Mus musculus: one gene and its partners. The main gene of each other region encodes a partner of the protein of the gene in region 4 in a complex. Links are inferred from orthologs where the notes say so. Each region holds a gene or a part of one and is shown on either strand. Other genes may lie near its edges. The genes, in order: Rab11fip2, Sh3bp5, Rab3ip, Rab11a, Myo5a and Myo5b.

Region 1 (4,269 bases), on a different chromosome or scaffold from region 4:
GGGATGGAAACTCAGCTTGTATAACAGAAGTTCTAAAACTTGCCCGATAATAATAAACCCAATACCTTACAGTTTATGACCATTTTAAGTTGGATAAAGCACATTCCTATCTATCATATTTATTCTCAAAATTAGTCCCATAAAGGGAGAAAAGCATTTAGTCAGTCAACAGATTGGTTAGCATGTCTGTTTAATGCTTAGTTCTCTAAAGTCCTTCAGGGATGTCTAATCTTTTGACATTGCTTGGAGAGCTGTTGTCTGTCTGCAAAGTTCTCCCTGAAGAAAAGCACAATGCAGTTAAATACTCTCATAGCATTTAAGGTTGGGTTTGGCCTCATTCATAGCTATTGTTGGCCGCAGGTTGGATGTGCTGCCAGGAAGTGCAGTCCAAAGAGCTTCAGAATTTTCCTAGGCAGACATGGACAGAAATAAAGTCAACAGAGGTAGTATGCATCTCCTGAGACTGAAAAGCAGAGACAGTACTCCTGTCCTCTCTGGCCATGAAGTTGGGGTTTGGATTCCTGGAGGACTTGACAGTGAGCGCTCAGGGAATGCTTTTGACTTGGACGCCATACACACAACTTAGAAAGGGGGAAAAAAGACTAAATAGTTCCGTAGAATTATGGTGGCAGGCATGGGGGCCTGGTCTTCTGACGCCATCCCAAAGCGTCTATGATCTTTATTAAGCAAGGGAATCTTTATTAAGCAAGAGAATCTTTATTAAGCTTTGGAATCTATCTGCATCCTTTGCTTTTGGTCTGTGCTCAGGAGGAGGTCCCTTTAGTCAGTTGAAGGTTTCCTCTTCAAGACGATGGAGAACGGTTGGACGAAGTCTGAACTGTCACTCAAGAAGAACTACCACCATTAAAGGACACCAGCGCCCAGCTAGGACTGAACACACAGCTGGAACAGATTTCTGCCTTCCAAGATGGAAACCGGTTCTCTCCCAATAGCGGGCGGTGTATAGGGCCCAGTGCCGCCTCCCAGAACCCCTTGTCGGCCTCTGCGGGCTCACAGTTCCCCAGCCCGCTGCAACCGACAGGTTGGAACCTCAGCACCCACCGTCCAGCGCGCGCATCCCAGCCTCCGCGTCCCGCACCGCGCGCCCCGTCGTCAAGGCAACCAGGGAGGCGCTGACCCCCAACCCCGCCCGGCCCCGCCCCTCGCGCAGCCCCACTCAACATGGAGACGGCCAACCCGGAAGTGGCGCGGCCGCCGCGCGCCGGGCGCTAGGAGCCGCGGGTTGCTGGCCAGGCCTCACCCGGTGACACCGCCCGGCCTCGGTTTGCCACCCGCGCTCCGCGTCCCTCCGACACCGGTCCAGGTCGGCCGCTTCCGCCCCGCTCGCCCAGGCCTGCGCCACTCTTGGGGGGGAGGAGCCGAGGCGAGGCCGCGCGGGCGGGCGGAGGGAGCCAGGCCCCACGGCCGTCGACGGTTCGTATCAGCCGGGTCGGAGGAGGAGCCGGGCCGCGCGGGGCGGAGGCCGGGCCCTAGGGGCGCAGGTTTCAGGATAGCGGCGAAGCGGGGCGCGGGGCTGCGCGCGGAGGCCCGGAAGGCGCGGAGGTGATGTGGGCCCCTGTGCTTCTACGGAAGAAAGGGACCCCAGCAGCGGCGGCGGCCTCCCTACCGGTCCTCCTGACAGCAGCCCTTAGGGACCTCGCGGCAGCCCTGACTGCCCAGCTCACTGAAGTGCTCTTAAGGATGCAGTGATCAGGGTACGGGGCTCTCCCCGCGGGAGGGGCTCTGCCTGCGCTTCTGAACTCTGCGCAGAGAAAACAAAACAACAACAACAAAAAACAAAACCGAAAAACAAAACAAAACAAAAAACCCAGAATGATGCTGTCTGAGCAAGCCCAAAAGTGGTTTCCAACCCACGTGCAGGTCACAGTGCTCCAAGCTAAAGATCTGAAGCCAAAAGGCAAAAGTGGTACCAATGACACATACACCATAATTCAGTTGGGCAAAGAGAAGTATTCTACATCTGTAGCAGAGAAAACCCTGGAGCCGGTCTGGAAGGAGGAGGCCTCCTTTGAGCTGCCTGGGTTGCTCATGCAGGGTAGTCCGGAGAAATACATTCTTTTTCTTATAGTGATGCACAGGTCCCTGGTGGGACTGGATAAGTTTTTAGGGCAGGTGGCAATCAATCTCAATGACATCTTTGAGGACAAACAAAGAAGGAAAACAGAGTAAGTTATATAATTTATTTTGAATTTTGGGTACTTAAAGATATATGGATTTACTGTTCTTGAACATAGTATATTTGAGGCATTGGTCTTTGGGATTGAAATAGGATCCAGTATTAAGCACTTCTCTTTGCATGACTTTGAAGGGAAATAGCCTTTACTCTGATTTTTTTTTTAATGGAGTGATTAGTAAACCATTTTTTTTTCTCATTTCTGTGTGAGGTTAAGAGCTCTTAGTGGAATATTTTGCACTGGGTTTTAATACTTTTTATAAGAGGCCTAGAGCATGAACTAGAAAACCAGAAAATTAAATATATGCGTACCATTAGGTCTATGTTTGTTGAGCACTGTTAAAAAAATAAATTACTAGTAAAGGGTGTCAAAAGATAAGTTACTAGGTTTAGAACTCTTTATTTCAGCATTGGAAACAGTTGGCCTTATTTTTGCTCCACCAGTTTTCAGGGTCAGTACTTCTTGATAGGGTAGAAAGTTGTTAAAAGAACAAAAGTTTTGGAAGTCTGCACAGACATCTTCAGTCTTGAGCCCACTGACATTTTCCCTTTGAATTTACAGTATAGTGGAGCTATTGTTTACTGAAGAATTAGTTCAGCAAAGCTGTTGTGTAAGATCAGAGACAGTGATTACAGTCTTGTGATGCAGTGATTTAATGACTTCTTCGATGAAAACATGGCTTTTGAAATTGAACTTTCTAGCCTAAGTTAGATATACTTAATTTAAGAAATCAAAATTCAAATCAACACTAGGATGTTATGTGCTAAGTTGAAACAAGTAGCATCTTTGGAAAGGTAGGTCTGCTGTCCTGCTTTTAGCTTACATGCTTGTACACGCTTACCTTACACGCAGAGCTTGTAATGGGCCTGAAGGCTCATTGAGATGGCTGGAGTTTGTGAAAAGAGGGCTGAGGGAACTCATCAGAGGACTGCACTTTTCCCAAGTAGCTTAAAAAAAAAAAAGAACAAAACCCAGTCCTGATGCATGTTCATCTACCTACCCTTTAGAGCACTATTTTTGCAATGATAACTTTAAGCTCACATTAATTTCTTACAAGTATAGTGATCTTTTATCTGTCTTTATTTCCTTTGTAAAACCTGCCAGCAAACTTCATTTAATAAGAATTGTTTTTGTTTTGAATAAAGTCTTTACCTAAGATTTAGTGTATGTAAGAAAAAATACTAGAAATGCAAGAAGAAAAAAAATAGGTAAATATTCAATGAGGATGGGGGGAGGAGAAGAAGTTTAAGTTGTATATTTAATGATTTTTAAATTTCCTGATACTTAATAGCATGTTATTTCTTCTGAGGGATTCTTCATCAGATTTAAAATGAAAAAATGAATAATAACCAAATAATTTGTCCCAAATTGTCACTATGAAATGATCTAGTGTATACCCTTTAAAGTGTTTTGACTGTGAGGTTTTGAGCATCTACAGTTTCAAAATTTTTTGCCGTGCTTTAAAAAGTGCTTTTAATATTAATGGTAATATACTGCAGACCACTCGAACGTAAATTCCCAAATTTAAGTAGGCCCAAGTGTAGATCCAAAGATGCTGAGAACGAAGTAGCCCTTTAAAAATTTCTTGTTTTATTTCCGCCTTTGGCAGCTTTGCAGTTACAATAAACTAGACCATGAACAATACTCTAACAGTGTAGTCTGTCTATAAAATCAAGGACAGCTTTTGGAAGGGAGATGCTTTGAAATGCTATCAACAGGGTTTGCGATGTTACTGCACACAAAGAGATTTTCATGTTATTAAACCCTTATTGTTTTGTGCGGGTGACTAAATGGGAACTGTGTATTTGATGAGGTATCTTTATTGGTAATATTTCTAGATTTTTAATATATTTAATAGCTTCCTTTTTCCAACCCAGCTGCACATGTGGCACAGTAAGAGACAGACTTGAGCCACCAGTGTATTAAAAGAAAGGTATTTAATATGCTGCGCATTGCTAGCCCTTGTCAGCATATTCCCAAGTGTTTTTTGGAAAAGTGGAATGAGTGATGAAGGCTACCAGCTGATTGAGATGTCCTACGAAACTGCTGGGTGTGAAGCTTTGTATTTTTGACA
Region 2 (2,493 bases), on a different chromosome or scaffold from region 4:
CCCATTTCACCAATGATGGGGGACAGAGGGGCCTTGATGTGTTTGCTGTGTCAGCTGCATGAGGGTCTACTCTGCTACACAGGGTGCTGAGGAGATACCTGGCAGCTCTCCCTAGGGTCTGAGCACACGGGTCTCCTCTGCTCAGGGATATCCTGTGCAGAAATGATAGGATTGACCTAGCTTCCGTTAATCAAGAAAACTACTGACAAGAACACTACCTCATAGCTCTCCCTTTCCTGTGTGCTTAGGCTTCCTCCTCAGCAACTCTTTTTTTTTCTTTTCCTTATTACTATTATTTAAGAAAAATAATTTGTATCTTTCCCACATGAATCTATGTATACCACATAATTGCCTGCTATCAGAAGAGGACACTGGGTCTTGTGGAATTAGTTATTAGCTGCCATGTAAGTGCTGGAAATCAATCCTGGGTCCTCTAGAAGAGCATCTCTGGCCCCACCAAGTGTTAAAGGCCATCAACAAATGCTGAATTGCCAGTTTGAAGGGAAATGAAACTAAAATGTAACCAATGCCTATGTACTGAGTTACTTTACATATTACCTCATTAATCCTGTGCACAGAGCATCCCGAAGCTGGGCAGTCAAGTGACTTACAAGGCCACACAGTCAGCAGTGGCGTTAGGATATGAGTTCAGATCTGGACCCATTTCCTAGCACAGCACTTGTATCAATCCACTCTGGAACGCTAGGCCATGTTTAAACAGTCACAGGCACAATGGGAACTGGGAAGGATCTTAAAAGTGATAGTGCAGGCTGAAGAGGCTTTGAAAACAAGAATGGCCTGTCTCTGAGCCTCGGTTATTCTGTCCACAAACTCAGAGTCAGTTAGAGTACTGGAAAGGAGCACTGTACTTTGTAGCGTGTCTGTTGAGATCAGAAGTTATCAGACATCCCACCCCGGCCTGCCCCTCCTTCCAGCAGCTCTTGCTGCTTCCGTCTTCCTTCTGCCTAGTATAGGCTACATTACAAAGGGCTAGTCTGAATTTACCTTCCCCTTTCCTTCGGCGCTGGGGATGGAACTCAGGCCTTTGTATATGCTGGACAAGCCGCTTCCTTTCAAACTGTTCTGGAGGCTGGTCAGACAGGTTCAGGTGCGATGCAGGTCCTGCAGACTCCATGTTGTGTGAGCATGTCCAGCAGAGAGCATGTCTGCAGGCATTTAAGGGACTGGGCTACTACCTGGCAGATCCCATGTGATTGATGTCCTCTCTCATCACAGTGGCATCAGAAGCCTTTGAAGATGACAACTGCAGCAACTTGGTGTCTGAAGATGACTCGGAAACCCAGTCTGTGTCCAGCTTTAGTTCGGGACCGACGAGTCCGTCTGAAATGCCTGATCAGTTCCCTGCAGTGGCAAGGCCTGGCAGTCTGGATCTGCCTAGCCCTGTGTCCCTGTCAGAATTTGGGATGATGTTCCCAATACTGGGTCCTCGAAGTGAATGCAGTGGGGCCTCCTCCCCTGAATGTGAGGTTGAACGAGGTAGGTTGCAGCTCAACTTGTGCACTGTCCATACCTTTGCCAGGTCTCAGGGGCCCTGAGAACATACAGTGGGATGGATCACTCAGATTACTTTCAAGGGCACTTCTACAGTCCTGGCCAACTTCAACCAAGCAGAACTTAGGTCCCATGTCTCCCCTAAGAACAATCCTCTCGGCAAGTTCCTGTTGGAGAGGTTCGCTTCCTAGCTACAAAATGACAATGGTACATCTCATCTCTAAAGAACAGATTAGTGAGTGCATGTAGTGTGCCACCCAGTGCTGGAGAACCTCTGAGATGTATGGTGGACAGCAGGAATGGCAGAGGGCTCAGGTGGCCGATGCTGGTGCCTATGGAACTCTTGAAACTGACCACCCCCATTTGGCAATCTTTGTATCTCTGCAGGAGACAGAGCAGAAGGGGCCGAGAATAAAATGAGTGACAAAGCCAACAACAACCGTGTTCTCGGCAGCACCAACGGTGGCAGTGGCAGGAGCAGGAGCCAAAGCAGCACGTCCCTTGAGAGCCAGGCCTTGGAAACCCGGATGAAGCAGCTCTCCCTACAGTGCTCAAAAGGAAGAGATGGAATTATTGCTGACATAAAAATGGTGCAGATTGGCTGATCCACCCAAGGGCTATGGCCTATGTGCAGATCATATTTATACATGAAATTCAAGAACATTGTGCCAATAATCATTTAACATAAGCCAAATAGTATGCATTTACTCTAAACTGCACTAACCAAGTTTCAGTGACCTTGAGGGCTAAACATTTTCCCTCTGGTAAGAGCTCTTGGGCTGGTGTGCTTTTCAGAGCAGAGCCATTGCAGGTAAACCGTGACCAGGGAGGGTCACGGTCTTTGCAGAGCATTCCCTGTAGCGGCAGCGTGGAAGCAATAACTAGTTTCTGAGAAAGAACCTGCAGGGCCAGGAGGAGAGCTGGACACTTAGCCAGACTGGGGTCACCAGCCTTCATCTCTATCCCCACTTCCTCTTCTTC
Region 3 (3,500 bases), on a different chromosome or scaffold from region 4:
CCTCCCCCTTTCCCCCTCCCCCTCTCCCCCCCTCCCTCTCCCTCCCGCCAGTGCCTTTACCCACTGAGCCATCCTGCTGGCTCCGAAAGTGCAGTTTTAAGCAAACTGTAAAGCCCTCCTGAGGCTCCTGGGAACTGGCTTTCAGAAATGGTGACTAAACAAATGGCAAGTGCTGGGGGTGTTTGAGAGAGACAAGGTCATTCCAGCTGGAACAGGGGGCCCTGGATTGGAGAGATTTGTCTAGGGTTTGGGGTGTGGGTAGAATTGAATAAATTGGAACAGGAAAAGAGTATGTTCAGAGGAAAGGGAAAACAGAAGAGGGAGAGGTGTGACAAATGAAAGACCGGAAGTAGATGGGGTGGGGCTGGAAGAAGGAGGAGCCTAGTCGTGACTGCCCCTCAATTGGTTGGAATTTGGAAAAGGTTCTGGCTTGTGGAAGAAGCTATGGGCTGGGATTTCTACGCTGCCATCCCTGAGTGACAAGGGGAGCGATAGTCTGGAATCTGGAGCCTAGGCCCGTGAGGAGACCCCGCAGGCGTGGCATGTTCTATGCCAGCCTCACAGGAGGCAAGGCTAGGAGTGAGCCCGGGACCATGGCAGCATTGAAAAGGATCATTTAAGATTTTTTTTAAGCAATTGAGGAAAAGTTTTTATTGGGCACGAGGAAGCATATACACACAGCACACACACGGAGAAGGACCCTCCATAAGACAGAGCCAGTGCTTTGAAGGGCACTTCTTATTAGTCTAAAAATTAGCACCTGGGACCTCACGAGCAAAACCCTCTCAAAGTGAGACAGACGGTGAAAGAGCAAACATATTTTCCAGAAGAGTAGCTGTAACTGGCTTGCTTGGTTTTTTCAGTTGAATGGTATTTGTTTTCCTTCTGAATAAATTCTGCTTTTGTATGTTACAAGGACTTCTAGCTGTTGAATCTTAAATTTATTGACTTCTGATCCTTCCCAAGCCAGTAGTTAGTACTTTTAAATATTGCCACGGGTCTTTAAAACAGTTTGCACGTGTGTGTGTTTGTATGTGCATGCATGCATGCATGTGTGTACATGCATAGGCGATAAGGCAAAGTCTCTTTGAAAAGAACAGAGAGTCTCTTTTTCAGAGACATTTGCAGTATGCCTTTAAAATGATCTTGTTCCAAATAACACGTTATGTACTTGGTTTCTTAGCCGAGGAACACCTGTGTCTCGTAGGTGCAGCTCACATCTAATGTGGCTCATATGTATTGATTGCCTTCGTTGTGTAATTTGTAATGGCATGTCAAATGGTATTGGCCACTTCCTGAGAGCTATGCTAACTTTCCCTTAACTAAGAGGGGTGGTTGTGTCTGTCAGGTTCCCAGCTGACGAGTGGGCAGGTCCAGCCTGGTACACAAACGGGCTTCACTCTTGGAGCAGCACGGTGACAGGTGGCCCATCAGTTATTTAGCAGTCAGTGGGTGGCTACCTGGGGCCAGGCTTTAAAGATAAATAAGACACAGTATCTACCCTCCAGGAATGTATAGCCTTGACCAGCCGGAACACCCACAGACACACAGACAGACAGACAGACAGACAGGATGGTATGAGCTGGCCTCTTCATACCAGCGTTACGGTTTTGTATCTAAAGGGCGGCTTGCTTCTTTATACTTCTTACATCCGACACCAAGTGCAGCCAACCCTACCAACCTCACAGACTGCTTTTGGCAGCTGTTCCTGTTATCGGTGGTTGTAAGACTCGAATAGTCCTGATTAGCTTCCTCTCAGCTAGGAAGCTGAAGGTAGGTGAGCGCCGTCCTGCAGCTGCTTGCCCGCAGCCGGGACGTGTATGGCAAACACCATCGTCTGTTCTGGAAGCGAGCTCAGTGCTGCTCAGTGCTGCGGCCGGAAGCTCATGCTGGGAGTCGGTCGCACAGGGGCAGGGTCTCTGTCCTGTTCTTCACGGTGGCCCCGCATCCAGAGCAGGCCCGTCACATGTTAGGGTCTCAGATATTTCCTATCTTAATGAAAAACTAAATGTAAAGGAAGTAGGGCAAATGCTTTCAACTGTAAAACAAAGCTGAAATTTGTTGTTTTGCAGAAAGTGTGCGCTCACTGGCCAGAGTAAGCCCTGCAGGCACAGGATTAGGCTCGGGGACTCCAGCTGCTGTTACTACATCTCTCCTTTCTGCAGATACAGGGTGAGTGACATGTGCCACCGTGGCCTTTAATACTGTCTGCCTCGCTGTGAAACTGACTGGTTGTGACGTCTCTCTCTTTTGGCCTAGATCACTTCTGTATGTAACTTTTTTACATACATTCGATACATTCAGCAGGGACTCGTGAAACAGCAGGATGGTGAGTGGTCTTGTTTCACTGTAGACATTTGCTTTAAGGTTGAGCCCGTCAGAGCAACAGTGTAATTGTTCCTGCAGTTCCATTAAACTTCCTGACCACTACTAACAAAACTTTGGATAATTTAGAAGAACAAATACCTCATCCACAAAAGACGGTTTTTATCCCATTTGCTCTTGAGGTTTGAGTAGAACCAGTTCACCTTGCAAGGGATATGTGATAGATCACACTGTACATGTCACGAGTGTTGAATCGTACTGTATTCACCCTTTGAGAGATCAACAGCTGGGGGGAGAGGGGGAGACAGGAGGATAACACTTTCAAGGCCAGGGAAAGCTGTAGGATGAGTTCAAGGGCAGCACTAGCAAGCTAATGGTATCCTGTCTCAGGAAAAAAAAAAGTTTAAGAAAAAATGTCAAGGATCTGGAGAGATATCTCAGTGGTTAGCACACTGATTGCTGTCCCAGAGGTCCTGAGTTCAGTTCCTAGCAACTACATGGTGGCTCACAACCATCTGTAATAAGATCTGATGCCCTCTTCTGGTGTATCTGAAGACAGCTACAGTCTGCTCACATAAATAAAATAAGTAAATAAAAGAAAAAAAATTGTCGGGATGGGTATGACTCATTGGCAGATTGCTTCGTTAGCTCACACGAGGTTCAGCTGCCATTCCTTGGGGAGTCTGTGGGTATGAAGATAAGCAAGCCCTAGAAGTGCTCAGACTGACTTTAATTGATGGGAGAGTGAAGGGGCCAACCGTAAGTTTCCTGTGTTTTCTGCTCTCATGTCCGACTTCCCGAGGTGGAGATATGATGGTACCAAGTAAAGCAAGGGTCACCATGTTCCAGTCAGCAGAAGGGCGCCAGCCACTGCAGTGGTGTTAGAATCTTAGCATAGCCCTCAGGCTGCTGATGGGCTTTAAACACCAATCACAAGGAGCAAGGCGGCAGTACAGCCTCAGAGCAGCATTACTGAGCCCACGAGACTGTTCCAGAGCAGGGCCCGCAGCAGACGCAGGGAGGGCAGGGAGAGCCTGTCACAGCAGACACAGGGAGGGCAGGGACAGCCTATCAGTCACAGCAGACGCAGGGAGGGCAGGGACAGCCTGTCAGTCACAGCAGACACAGGGAGGGCACGGAGAGCCTGTCACAGCAGACGCAGGGAGGGCAGGGAC
Region 4 (2,979 bases):
TGCCTCCATCTTCTGATTAAAGGCTGTGGCTCTCCATGCATAGCCATGGATTTTTAATTTTTATTTAGATAGTTACCTACTGTATAAGGTAGCAGAGATAGAAAATTTATACTTATTTGACTCTGCATTTGTCCTATTTCTGCTTGAGCAAATTCACCAAGAGTTGTTTTGTCAGGGACACATGAAACCTGCATAGGAGTACATTGTGTCTTTTCTAGTACATCTTATTGGAAGGCTGATTATATTTGGTTGCCCGTTTGTAGAGTTTCCCTACTTTTTGATGATATTGCTTAAGAAGGAACACTGGGAAGGCAAGATGGAGGCCTGCGTTCTCTGTTTTTGTTTTTTTTGTTTTTTTGGTTTTTTTTTTTTTTGGGTTTTGGTATTTTGAGACAGGGTTTCTCTGTGTAACCCTGGCTGACCTAGAACTCACTCTGTAGACCAGGCTGTGTAGACCAAGTATGCGCCACCACTGCCTGGCCACAAATTGTTAAAAGCAATGCTTTGGTTCTAGTTAATGGCTATTTGAAAATAAAACCTTACCTTTTGAGATAAAGTTCCAGTAGCCCAGGCTGTCTTTTCAACTTGCTGTGTGGCTGAGGTTGGTCCCGAACTCCTTAATTTCCTGCCTCCACCTCCCAAGTGTTGGGGTCACAGATGTGCACTACCATGCTTAGCCTACAAATAAAATGTAATGTGTATCTTTCTGTTCTGTGTGTCTTCTGTCTCTTTTACACAAAGTCTTCATGGTTTATACACACTGAGTGTTTCTGTTTCTTCTGTCATTCAGAGATATACCGCATTGTTTCTCAGAAGCAAATGTCAGACAGACGTGAAAATGACATGTCTCCAAGCAACAATGTGGTTCCTATTCATGTTCCGCCCACCACTGAGAACAAGCCAAAGGTGCAGTGCTGTCAGAACATCTAAGGCGTCTCTTCCCCTAGAAGGCTGTGTATAGTCCATTTCCCAGGTCTGAGATTTAAATATATTTGTAATTCTTGTGGTCACTTTCTGTGTTTTATTACTTCCTTACACTTAAGAATCTTCCCATGTCTTAAGTCTTTTGATTTGGCTTTATAAAATCCTCAACTTTGTCCTGAATGACTGCAGTTCTTTTTCATGCTATGGCTTCTCTAGCCTTAGTTTAATAAACTGAATGTTTGAAGTTCTCAGTTATTGTTTACTCTTCATCATGGAAGCCTGTCACTGTAGGACAGAATAGAACTCTATCACTTGAAGTTTAGACCTATTGGTCCTGATCAGATCTAAGACAACCTTAGAAATAAGCTATTGTTTTGCCACAGAGCAGCTTGTAAGACACTCTTCTCAATACAGTACATATTTTGACAGATCTAAGGATTGCCCTGTAAACATAACAGCATTTTGAGAGCTTGAAGATTTTCCATTGTGGAAGTCAGTTTCTAAAATGCCTTAATAGGTCTATGTTGTAAATTTTTTCTTTAATTTTTGTAAGCATCAAACATGATGGGGATTCTTTTTTGTTGTTTTTCTGGAAAAGAATTAATAAACACAAAGGACTGTTATGGTTTGCATAGGGTGTGGTTATGTGGTCAAAGTTACCCTGCTGTCTGGTAGGCTAGTGGACTTCTGTCTGAGGTGTCTCTGTTGCAGTGATCGGCAGCCAGAGTAGCTTAACCAATCTCATTTCCTAGATTGTGATATTTTTATTGCTCATGTAATAACTAGCTTAATGCTGGTAATATCACATTTTGAAGTGTTAATTTTGCTTTTAAACCTGTCTAGTAAGTGAAATGCAGCCTAATTTTATCACCATATTCAGCAACCAGCATGGGTAATTATTTTAACAATGCTTATATTTGAGTTCTGCAGTGTATAATGGAATATAGCTCAATTAATCCTTTGGTTTTAGTATGTCTAAAGAATACAGTGAGAAGTTAATTTATACTCAAGTGGTACCACTTAAAGGCATGTGTTCTTTTAGTATGTAAAGTGAAATAGTACCTTGAATTTAAGTAGAATGTACTTAGCCATTGTAGGGCCCTGAAATAGATTTTTCCACTACATAATTGAAATCAATGGAACAACTAGTTTCTCATTCAGAAATGTACACACTAATACTTAGTTTTACTTCCTTGTGGATAATATTAAGCACTTACCCTGACGTTTTCTGAAAGTTAACTGCAAAGACGTTATTAAGGATGGTGGGATACCTGCAAAAACTGTGTGGGCTTGCATAGATGACTATGTTTCATGGTTAAATCTTCTGCCTTTTGCAGTGCTCATGATGTGTGGGGAGCACAGAAGGCATTGCTATAGTCAGTCATTTTGTTTTTCTTTTGTAGTTATTTGTTATTTTAGTGTATTGGTTATAAAGATACTGTCTATTTATAAATTGCTACTTTGTATTTTATGCATGCTCTGTATTTGGACTTTTTTTTAATCTATTGATTTGGAGTACATCCTCATCCTAATAAACAGTTACAGGGGCTTTCCCAGTGTGGTGAGATTACATTCTTCTTCTGAGTGCTTTAGAAGTAGCCATGAAAACCTTGCTTCTGATGAGTGAGAAGATAAGTCCTTGCATTGCTGAGTAAACTTGGATTGGGGGCAACTGTCAGTTCAGGTAGACTTTAGATCTGCAGAGAACGTTGTACTCTTGGGGAGCTATTTCTAAAAATGGTGGTGACACAGGCTGTATTTTTCTAACAGTGTCACTAGACACAGGAAAAGCTTCCATTTCTATTAAAATTTACGATAGATTTATGAACTAAAACTAAGAAAAAATAAATTATGTAGTGAATGAAAATGAGTAAGAGTAGCTTTTTAAAATTTTTTTATTTTAAACCAAGAATAGATTTTTTTTTCCCCAAGAATAGGTTTAAATGCTACTTGTACATGGTGGATTTTGGGAGACCTCCAGGCAACATTAGGTATTAGAAAGAGACTTTGCTTGCATGTCAACAAGAGTCTTCATGTTGAGTTAGATCTCAGGAG
Region 5 (4,298 bases), about 10 Mb from region 4:
ACCACCAAAAGAAAAAAAACCCTTTCTCCTACCCCTCATCTTCTCTTTCTCTTACATCAGGGTGGTTGAAAGTATGTCTTTGAAAATTTTGAAAGAATGATTCCAATTTTATTTTTGTTCATGTAAATAAAAGTCACTTTTATAAGAACTCTCAGAGTTTTGAGTGTTTTGGTTCTTCCTACCCCCCCCCCCTCCGACTCACCAACCCATCATACTCAGTATTCCTCAACTGTCCTGACCGGTAGCTAATATCTAGAGGGTAAGGAAACAGGCACCTTCTACAGGCATGAAGGAAGTGTAAGAGACAGGAGCTCAACTCATTGCTTTGGATGCTCTGCTGGCTCAAAGTACATTTTGTCTCCTTTCACAGGCAGACAAAGAAAGGATGGAATCCAGAAACATCAAAGTGGTGAACAGTCTTCCTTCAAATACCCACCTCATGTTCAGACATAACTAGGGAGTCAGGCTTGTGCTTTGACTGCCATTGTACTGGTCTCAGAACCATGTCTCTAAAATTTCACCATTCACAAGGCAGAGGCAGGAGGATGGCGAGTTTGAAGAAAACCCGGGCTGCTTAGTGAGACCTGTCTCAAAACCCAACAAGCCAAACAATAAAACTGGATTCCCATGATAGGCACTGGCCACAACTTAAGGTTTAAAGAAGGAAGATGGACACATTTTAAAAGGCTAAAAATTTTAAAGAGTATTCCAAGTGAGCACGAAAGTGTGGCTGGAGAGAACATGTTGGGATGAAAAAGACCACATTCCTGTGTCCGTGTAAGGGCACGGAATAGACTGCGTCAAGACTGCAAACACTTGAGTTTCTCTCAGTAGGTTGCCGTTTTCAGGTGACTCCAGGATCAGCATCAGGTAGTGCTGTCACGATCAGCAGAACAAAGGTCTCATTCTGAATGGTGGCGAACCTATGTAAACGCCCAAGTCTAAGATGGGCCATTTCCCAGTGCCATCTTGTTTTCAGGTTCATTGGAGTTTCTGTGTGTTAGAGGCCACCCTATGTCCTTGCATCACCAAGGGTGCAAACCCAAATGCAGAGTGACCTTGAGCATCCTTCAAATTCCGGGTGGTGCAGCTTCCCGCCCTGCCGTGAGCAAGTCTCTTCTGGAGTTGCAGGTTCTCAGAAAGGCCTTTCCCGAACCCTCCCCTACCTCAAGTCCTCTCCCTACAAACAGCAGGGCCAGGAGGAGCAGCCTTGAGGCTGCCGGGTCTACGCGGGCACTCTAACCGTCGCTACCTCGAGCGGGACGCGCTCCCTCACTGCCCCACCTTCGCGCACACTGTGGGGGGCCACTCCGCCAAAGCAGGTTTGGGATGCCAGCCGCATGGGCCGAGGATGCTCGGTGCCCGCCGCCGATGGGAGGCAGCGTGAGCCCGAAAGAGCCGGGAGGGATCGCGGTGGCAGCGCTCGAGCGCAGCCTCCTCCCGCTCCCACAATGCACAGGGCGGCGGCGGCGGCGGCGGCGGCATCGCGCGCCGCGGAGGAGACAGAGGAGGCTACAGAGACCAGGCCTCTAAGGAGGCGAAGCGGCTGAGGAAACTGAGGGAGCGAGGGGGCGCTGAGGACGCGAGGCGACTGAAGAGACCGCAAGGGCTGTGTGTGTGGACCAGGCGGCTTGGGGAGACTGAGGCGGCGACGGCCGCGGAGGCTGGTACCCGAGTCCCCCGAGCACGCGCCTCGGGCTCACGCGGCCGCCGAGCCCTGGAGGTGATGACTGTCAGGCTCCCGCCCGCCGCTAGCGCCTGACGCGCCCCGCCCCGGCCCGCCCGGGCCCGCCCGCCAGCTTGGCCCGCCCTGCCCGGCCCGGCCCTTCCCCTGCTCCCCGCCCGCCACCGTTTCACCCGCGCGGGCGGCCGCCACGCGAGCTGCGGCCTCCGCCTAGGCGGGGGGCGTCGGCGCTGGGCCCGCCATGGCCGCGTCCGAGCTCTACACCAAGGTAACGCGCGCCGCAGAGCCTTGTCCTGGGGAGGGGTCGCGCGGCCGGGACCGTGGCTGTAGGACCGGCAGGTTCCACCGGACTGCACCCCACTGCCCGGCTGTACCTCCTTGCCCGGCTGTACCTCCCTGCTCTGCCTCCCGAGCCCATTTCGGATGGGATGCTCTTGGGCAGATGCTCGGGCCGCTCTCCCGGGACTCGTGCTTAAAATAACGTCCTGTGCCGGTATGCGCCAGGCAGCAGCCTCTCGGGGAGATTATTTCGGATTCTGCAGTTATGGCCAGTCCGCTTTCACCTTTAGCTGCCGGGTTCTTGCCATTTGCCCTGGGGTGCGGAGCCTGTGGGAAGATGCAGCCCGGAGATGGCGAGCTTATTCTTAGGCTTCTTGGTGCCTGGGAGTTTGCAACCTGCGCGTTATCCCCGAGAGCCTCGTTAGCTCTGTGTCCTCACCCTCCTTTCCGGCGAGCCTTTCCCTTTTGGTCTTCATTTAGGGGAAGTGGCAGCCTTTTCAATCTTAAACCGACGCCCATATTCTCAGGGTCTGGTAATCTCTGAATGGCGTATTTTGGAGAGACTGTTTAGAAAATCTGTGTTGGGCAGTGTGTGGTGTATGCATTCATGGTATCTTATGTTACGGTTTCAATGGATGTTTTGCCAGCTAATGATTATTAAAATTACCTCTAATTCCACTCAACAGAATTGCCTTAACTTTTCAAGTTCATGTTTTTACATTTTTACCAGAATCTCTTTCTTCCCGTCTCTCTCTGTCTCTGCCTTTGTCTCCCTCTCAGGCACGGAGATTGAATGTAAGGGCCTCATGCATACTAGGTAAACCCTTTACAACTGAGCTATATATAGATAGCCCCAGCTTTCTGGACTCTTCTTTTAGCAGTTTGGAATCATCTCTTGCACACGTGACATCAATAAGCCCAGAGCCCAAATTGCAGCCTTGAGGAAAGAAATCTGTACCTTTCCACCCAACTGTGTGACATTTGGCAAACTACATAACCTCTCTGGTTCAGGTTTCTTACTTGTAAATAGAGTGAATTTTATTTGTCCTTTTGTCCTTCCTTACAAGCTGTTGTGAGGATCACATTTAATACTAGTTGTGAAAGCTTTCTGTGACTCTTTTTTTTTTTAAACAAATATGAGGTATATGATTACTTTCTTCCAGCCATGAAATGAAGAGCTTGCATGAACCTGGGACTTTCTTTCTAGCCCTAGATTTAAGAAGTGTACAATTAGAACATTTCTCTAAACCTAGTAATTTTTTTTTTTCAGCATGGCAATTCTATAAGACTATCATTGGAAATTGACTAAAAGTTACCTTCTTAACTTACATAGTACAATTCTAAGTGTTTTGAAATATTAACTCATTTAATCGTTGCAATTTATGTATGAAGTAGATACAAGTAACAATTATGTCACTGTGACGAGCTGTCACATTGTTACATTGTTCTGTCCTGTCTGGCCCCCTACCAGGCCCCTGCTATCAGCCCATCTTGAACCTGGACCTGCTAATTATAGGCTGATAAGCAGAAATTAGGTGGGTGGTAAGTTGCTGGACTTCTAGATCTGTTTGTCCCCTGCCCCCACACAAAATATTTTGTAGGGAAAACTGGGGAAGGTGTTGTCATTTTTAAATAATAAAGTTTTGAGTTTCCATCACAGTGTAATAGAATTCATCTTATAGTCTTCCTAGATACAGACAGATTTAGTCACTGAAACTGAGGTTGGGACTTAAGGGGCTTTTTCCTAAATTTAGATATACCTCAGAATAGCCTGACTCTGTAGTTATTTGTGCACTGATCTGTGAATGGGCCTTAGTTTAATGACAGGAAGGAATATTTATTGAGTGTCCTGTAAACCAAATACTCTGTCTTGTGTTTAGAGTTTCTAACAGTGGACAAGTCATAGCCCTTTCCTCATAGGGCTCACAGTCTGTTTATTATATTCTTGACCCACTTTGAATCTCCAAAGGCATAAATAACCTGCTGTTACCTTAACAACAGGCTGGCAGATGTGTTAGCAGGACATAGGTGATGTCTGGATATGGCAAAGGTTGGACTTATTCTAGAGGAATGATTCTAGAGTAGTAAGTATTAGGAGAGGGAAGGAAACCATTAGAAGAAATGTCAGTATAACCCAAGTGTCTGTCCCTTGCAGATGATTGTAGAGAAGGAAGTGGTGGATAGATTACAAGGAAAAACATGTTACTGACATGGCATAATTGTGATATTCAGCATGTGAGTAAATATGAAAAGTGCCCTTTTAAAAGTTGTCATCAGACCTTTAAGGCAGATTTTGATGTGTGATACAGATCAGCTTCTATTACAGTGAAGGGCA
Region 6 (3,500 bases), on a different chromosome or scaffold from region 4:
CTCTAACGAGGCCACACCCCCTAATAGTGCCATGCCAAGCAAGCATTCACACACACACAAGTCTACGGGGGCCATTCCTATTCAAACCATATCTATCTAATAAATAAAGGTAGAAACAAGAGTTTGTCAGCCACTCTCCTGTGTACACAAGGTCTACAGAACCTAGCTAAAACTTTCCATCAAATCCTTGGATGTTACAGGCCACATATGCATGGTCTCCTAAACCCAAGGCCAGGCCAGCTTTCAAACCCCCGTAGTTACAGAAGCTGTACCTGTCCCCATCCTGCAGAGCAAACCCACAGGATATGTGTACTCATCCTCACCAGGTCCTCATGGAGCACAAAGCCACCATCATCCAGAAGTACGCCCGAGGCTGGATGGCACGGAAGCGTTTTCTGCGGGAGCGGGATGCAGCCATTGTCATCCAGTGTGCCTTCCGGAGACTCAAGGCCAGGCAGGAGCTGAAGGCCCTCAAGATTGAGGCCCGCTCGGCAGAGCATCTGAAACGCCTCAACGTGGGCATGGAGAACAAAGTCGTCCAGCTACAGCGGAAGATTGATGACCAGGTCAGTGGTAGGAGTCTCCTACATGGGTGTCGAAGCTTAGGGGATACTGGGACATGCTTGAGATGGACCCCCAAGCTTTCTCAGGGAGCTGCAGGTACCAGAGACCTCAGGGGCATTGCCCAGTCAGTAAGAATAGTTGCTGAACATAGTCACTGAATAGTGTCACTCCCCAACAAAGGCAGCACGCCCCAATCTTCGGGATCTACAAATGTGCTCTCTCACACACAACAAGGAGCTTTGCAAGAGTGCATATGTTAGAGGTGTCTGGATGGGAAGGTGGCCTTAGGCTGTCCAGGTGGACCCCATGGGATCATAGCGTGCTCACGAGAGAAAGCTGCAGACAGGATTGGGGAGCAGGATGCAGAGCCACAGGCTCCAGTATCCAGGCCACCTTTGGGAGCTACAGATAACAGTGGGAGGTTTTCCCCTGGAGTCTCTAAACAACCACAGTCCTGCTGGCCACCTTTAGAAGCTCCTTCCAGAGCTGCAAAATAGTAGCTTACATTGTTCTGAGCCACCAGCTTCATGGTACTTTTTTTTTTAAGATTTATTTATTATTATATTTAAGTACACTGTAGCTGTCTTCAGATGCACCAGAAGAGGGCGTCAGATCTCATTACGGATGGTTGTGAACCACCATGTGGTTGCTGGGATTTGAACTCAGGACCTTCAGAAGAGCAGTCGGTGCTCTTAACCACTGAGCCATCTCTCCAGCCCTCCATGGTACTTTTTAATGGAGCAATAAGAAATTGATAGATTCGTCCAGAGTCCTGAGGCCCTGCCTCTCCAGAGGCTTCACAGTATAGCTACAGCAATGGCTGTGTGGACCCACACCGTGTTTCCCTCTTTGTTTATGACGGTCCCCATGAGGTAAATGTTGGCATCCTGTCTGATATGACATTGGTATTGCATTGATTAGGCTTTTTAACTCTGCACTGGCTACCTTCGCACGTCAACCAGCTGGATGAGCAGTGTGTCAATGCCCACTATGGATGGAGTTCTGTGACAGGATCTGAGGCAAGCGTAAAATACTGCCTTCTTTGAGGTCATGTAGACTCAGGAGAGAAAGGATGAAGGCGCACATGGTGTGGATGTGAGGAAAAGAAAAACCTGGCAGTGGGGGACCAGCCATAGCAGTGGGGGACTGGCCATAGCAATAGGGGGCCAGCTGTGGCAGTGGAGGATCAGCCATGACAGTGGAGGATCAGCCATGACAGTGGGGGATCAGCCATGACAGTGGGGGACCAGCCATGACAGTGGGAGAGCAGCAGTGGCAGTGGGGACACTTGATCTTAATGTACTCATGCTATAGTAGGCATTTTTGGAGCTTCTCATAACCTGAGGGCAGGAAAATAGGTGAGTCATTTTGTTTTGTTTTTGTTTTTATTGGTATTATTTTTTAAAGATAGACTTTTATGTAGTCCAGGCTAGCCTCAAACTCCATTTCTGGCCAAAAATGACTTTGAACCTCTGACTCTACCTCCCAAATGCTGGAAGCACAGTGGTAGGCTACCAGGCTCAGTTTTATCCCCTGCTAGGGCTCACCCCTGCTTCATGCCACAGGGCAAGCATCCTGCCAACTGAGTCACATTTCCAGTACAATGAACCAGTTTTTGGCTAAGCTAGCTGTCCTACACATGAGCCCCTGTGTGGAGACAGCTGACAATGGGGCACTTTGCTTTCCTGTTCTGGGCAGAGACCAGGCTTGTGGAAGAGCCAGTGCCCTGGGTATGTGTTCTCTTGGAGTTACCCAGAGTGTTGGCTTGGATGCTGTCTTAGTTAGGGTTACTATTGCTGTGATGAAACGCAATGACCAAAAGTAAGTCAGGAAGGGAAGGGTTTATTTGGCTTAGACTTCGACATCACAGTTCATCATCAAAGGAAGCCAGACCAGAAATTCAAACAGAGCAGGAAGCTGGAGGCAGGAGCTGATGTAGAGGCCATGGAGGGGGTGCTGCTTACTGGCTTGCTCCCCATAGCTTGATCAACCTGTTCTCTTATAGAACCCAGGACCACCAGCCCAGGGACGGTACCACCCATGATAGGACCATCCATTGGTCTTCTCCCCCGCTGATCACTAATTGAGAAAATGCCCTACAGTTGGATCTCATGGGGGCATTTCCTCAACTGAGGCTCCTTCCTCTCTGGTGATTCTTGTGTCGAGCTTATACACAAAACCAGCCGGTACAAATGCTCAGTATAAAAAGACAGCCCTCCCAGTGTGAGCTGGGGATGCCCACTTCCTACCCTGGTCAGCCTGTGGTGACCCAGCAAGTCAGGGAGAGGTCTGTGAAAACACAAAGCACCACGGTGTCCCCTGTTTCTGTCAGGACTGTCAGTGCCAGTGACCACTGAGTCACTTTTCTAGACACAGTGTGGCCAGAGGACAAGGCGACTAAAGCCACTGTCCCTACTAGGGAGGAGCATCTGTGTACCCAGGCCCCCCCTGGGCCCTGGTTTCAGATAGTGCTCAGTATTGGCCTTGCTGGTGTGTGAGGTCAACTCCAGAGGATAAAAATAACACGGTATTTCCCACCCCACGTGCTTGAACGTCGGAGAGAAGCAGATTTGAAAGGCCTATTTTTAAATAAAGCTCTCGCCTTAAGCTTTCTGCTCGGCAAACATTTGTGAGCAGTGGCAGATGCTGTCACCCTGGGCAAGGCTCCCTGTATACAGCAGGTAATCAGGGAACATGTGAGATCTTTCTCACACTGATTCCCTTGTGGTTTTCATGCCAGGCACTGTACCCATGCCTTAACCCACTGATCTTCACCACACCTATGGGATAAGTATTGCTATCATCTCCATTTTAACCATGAGTGCACTTAAGGGCACAGAGGGGATAAGTAACCAACCAAAGGATGCACAGCCAGGAAAAAGCCTGGCTGAGATTGAAGCTGCTTTCAGGGAGGCTTTGCCACCTCTGGCTGGGTT

What was found.
Region 1: the proteins of Rab11a (region 4) and Rab11fip2 are in contact, whole or in part, in a crystal structure (PDB 2GZD), measured with the Homo sapiens proteins. The link is inferred for Mus musculus from reciprocal best matches to the Homo sapiens genes RAB11A and RAB11FIP2. Residues at the interface, in NP_004654.1 of Homo sapiens: Arg33, Ile44, Gly45, Val46, Glu47, Phe48, Ala49, Thr50, Lys61, Trp65, Arg72, Arg74, Ala75, Ile76, Ala79, Tyr80, Arg82; in NP_055719.1 of Homo sapiens: Glu478, Ile481, Asp482, Asn483, Leu485, Val486, Met489, Glu490, Pro493, Ser494, Leu496, Arg497, Val498.
Region 2: the proteins of Rab11a (region 4) and Sh3bp5 are in contact, whole or in part, in a crystal structure (PDB 6IXV), measured with the Homo sapiens proteins. The link is inferred for Mus musculus from reciprocal best matches to the Homo sapiens genes RAB11A and SH3BP5. Residues at the interface, in NP_004654.1 of Homo sapiens: Tyr8, Asp9, Tyr10, Leu11, Lys13, Glu35, Phe36, Asn37, Leu38, Glu39, Ser40, Ser42, Thr43, Ile44, Phe48, Lys58, Gln63, Trp65, Tyr73, Ile76, Ala79, Arg82, Gly83; in NP_004835.2 of Homo sapiens: Asp42, Ile45, Gln46, Leu49, Glu50, Asn53, Thr56, Ile59, Asn60, Glu63, Thr64, Glu67, Lys240, Tyr243, Leu247, Leu250, Glu251, Ile253, Ser254, Asp255, Ile257, His258, Arg261.
Region 3: the proteins of Rab11a (region 4) and Rab3ip are in contact, whole or in part, in a crystal structure (PDB 4UJ5), measured with the Homo sapiens proteins. The link is inferred for Mus musculus from reciprocal best matches to the Homo sapiens genes RAB11A and RAB3IP. Residues at the interface, in NP_004654.1 of Homo sapiens: Phe36, Leu38, Glu39, Asp127, Leu128, Arg129, His130, Leu131, Arg132, Ala133, Pro135, Thr136, Leu156; in NP_783322.1 of Homo sapiens: Asn367, Thr368, Leu369, Ser370, Ile371, Glu372, Pro373, Asp412, Arg424, Thr428, Cys431, Asn432, Thr435, Tyr439, Leu444, Val445, Lys446, Gln447, Gln448.
Region 5: the proteins of Rab11a (region 4) and Myo5a are in contact, whole or in part, in a crystal structure (PDB 5JCZ), measured with the Homo sapiens proteins. The link is inferred for Mus musculus from reciprocal best matches to the Homo sapiens genes RAB11A and MYO5A. Residues at the interface, in NP_004654.1 of Homo sapiens: Arg33, Glu35, Ile44, Gly45, Val46, Glu47, Phe48, Ala49, Thr50, Gln63, Trp65, Gln70, Tyr73, Ala75, Ile76, Ala79, Arg82; in NP_001369276.1 of Homo sapiens: Ile1660, Gln1661, Trp1738, Met1742, Arg1745, Tyr1746, Ser1749, Gln1750, Glu1753, Arg1756, Gln1777, Gln1780, Val1781, Lys1782, Lys1784, Met1795, Glu1818.
Region 6: the proteins of Rab11a (region 4) and Myo5b are in contact, whole or in part, in a crystal structure (PDB 4LX0), measured with the Homo sapiens proteins. The link is inferred for Mus musculus from reciprocal best matches to the Homo sapiens genes RAB11A and MYO5B. Residues at the interface, in NP_004654.1 of Homo sapiens: Leu11, Lys13, Arg33, Glu35, Ile44, Gly45, Val46, Glu47, Phe48, Ala49, Thr50, Gln63, Trp65, Glu71, Arg72, Tyr73, Arg74, Ala75, Ile76, Thr77, Ala79, Tyr80, Arg82, Gly83; in NP_001073936.1 of Homo sapiens: Ile1627, Gln1628, Gly1629, Leu1630, Trp1706, Met1710, Arg1713, Tyr1714, Ser1717, Gln1718, Glu1721, Arg1724, Gln1745, Leu1747, Gln1748, Leu1749, Lys1750, Lys1751, Glu1755, Ala1759, Leu1763, Tyr1779, Glu1786.

Annotation. Positions count from the first base shown.
Region 1 is NC_000085.6:59,940,565-59,944,833, reverse strand, and holds the start of Rab11fip2 (rab11 family-interacting protein 2), read left to right. Parts: upstream 1-1,469; 5' UTR 1,470-1,833; coding exon 1,834-2,186; intron 2,187-4,269. UniProt on the Homo sapiens protein: A Rab11 effector binding preferentially phosphatidylinositol 3,4,5-trisphosphate (PtdInsP3) and phosphatidic acid (PA) and acting in the regulation of the transport of vesicles from the endosomal recycling compartment (ERC) to the plasma membrane.
Region 2 is NC_000080.6:31,374,608-31,377,100, reverse strand, and holds part of Sh3bp5 (SH3 domain-binding protein 5), read left to right. Parts: intron 1-1,236; coding exon 1,237-1,497; intron 1,498-1,899; coding exon 1,900-2,117; 3' UTR 2,118-2,493. UniProt on the Homo sapiens protein: Functions as a guanine nucleotide exchange factor (GEF) with specificity for RAB11A and RAB25. Inhibits the auto- and transphosphorylation activity of BTK. Plays a negative regulatory role in BTK-related cytoplasmic signaling in B-cells.
Region 3 is NC_000076.6:116,908,954-116,912,453, reverse strand, and holds part of Rab3ip (rab-3A-interacting protein), read left to right. Parts: intron 1-2,072; coding exon 2,073-2,172; intron 2,173-2,259; coding exon 2,260-2,329; intron 2,330-3,500. UniProt on the Homo sapiens protein: Guanine nucleotide exchange factor (GEF) which may activate RAB8A and RAB8B. Promotes the exchange of GDP to GTP, converting inactive GDP-bound Rab proteins into their active GTP-bound form.
Region 4 is NC_000075.6:64,714,800-64,717,778, reverse strand, and holds the end of Rab11a (ras-related protein Rab-11A), read left to right. Parts: intron 1-790; coding exon 791-930; 3' UTR 931-2,479; downstream 2,480-2,979. UniProt on the Homo sapiens protein: The small GTPases Rab are key regulators of intracellular membrane trafficking, from the formation of transport vesicles to their fusion with membranes.
Region 5 is NC_000075.6:75,069,708-75,074,005, forward strand, and holds the start of Myo5a (unconventional myosin-Va), read left to right. Parts: upstream 1-1,498; 5' UTR 1,499-1,925; coding exon 1,926-1,952; intron 1,953-4,298. UniProt on the Homo sapiens protein: Processive actin-based motor that can move in large steps approximating the 36-nm pseudo-repeat of the actin filament. Can hydrolyze ATP in the presence of actin, which is essential for its function as a motor protein. Involved in melanosome transport.
Region 6 is NC_000084.6:74,701,119-74,704,618, forward strand, and holds part of Myo5b (unconventional myosin-Vb), read left to right. Parts: intron 1-326; coding exon 327-566; intron 567-3,500. UniProt on the Homo sapiens protein: May be involved in vesicular trafficking via its association with the CART complex. The CART complex is necessary for efficient transferrin receptor recycling but not for EGFR degradation.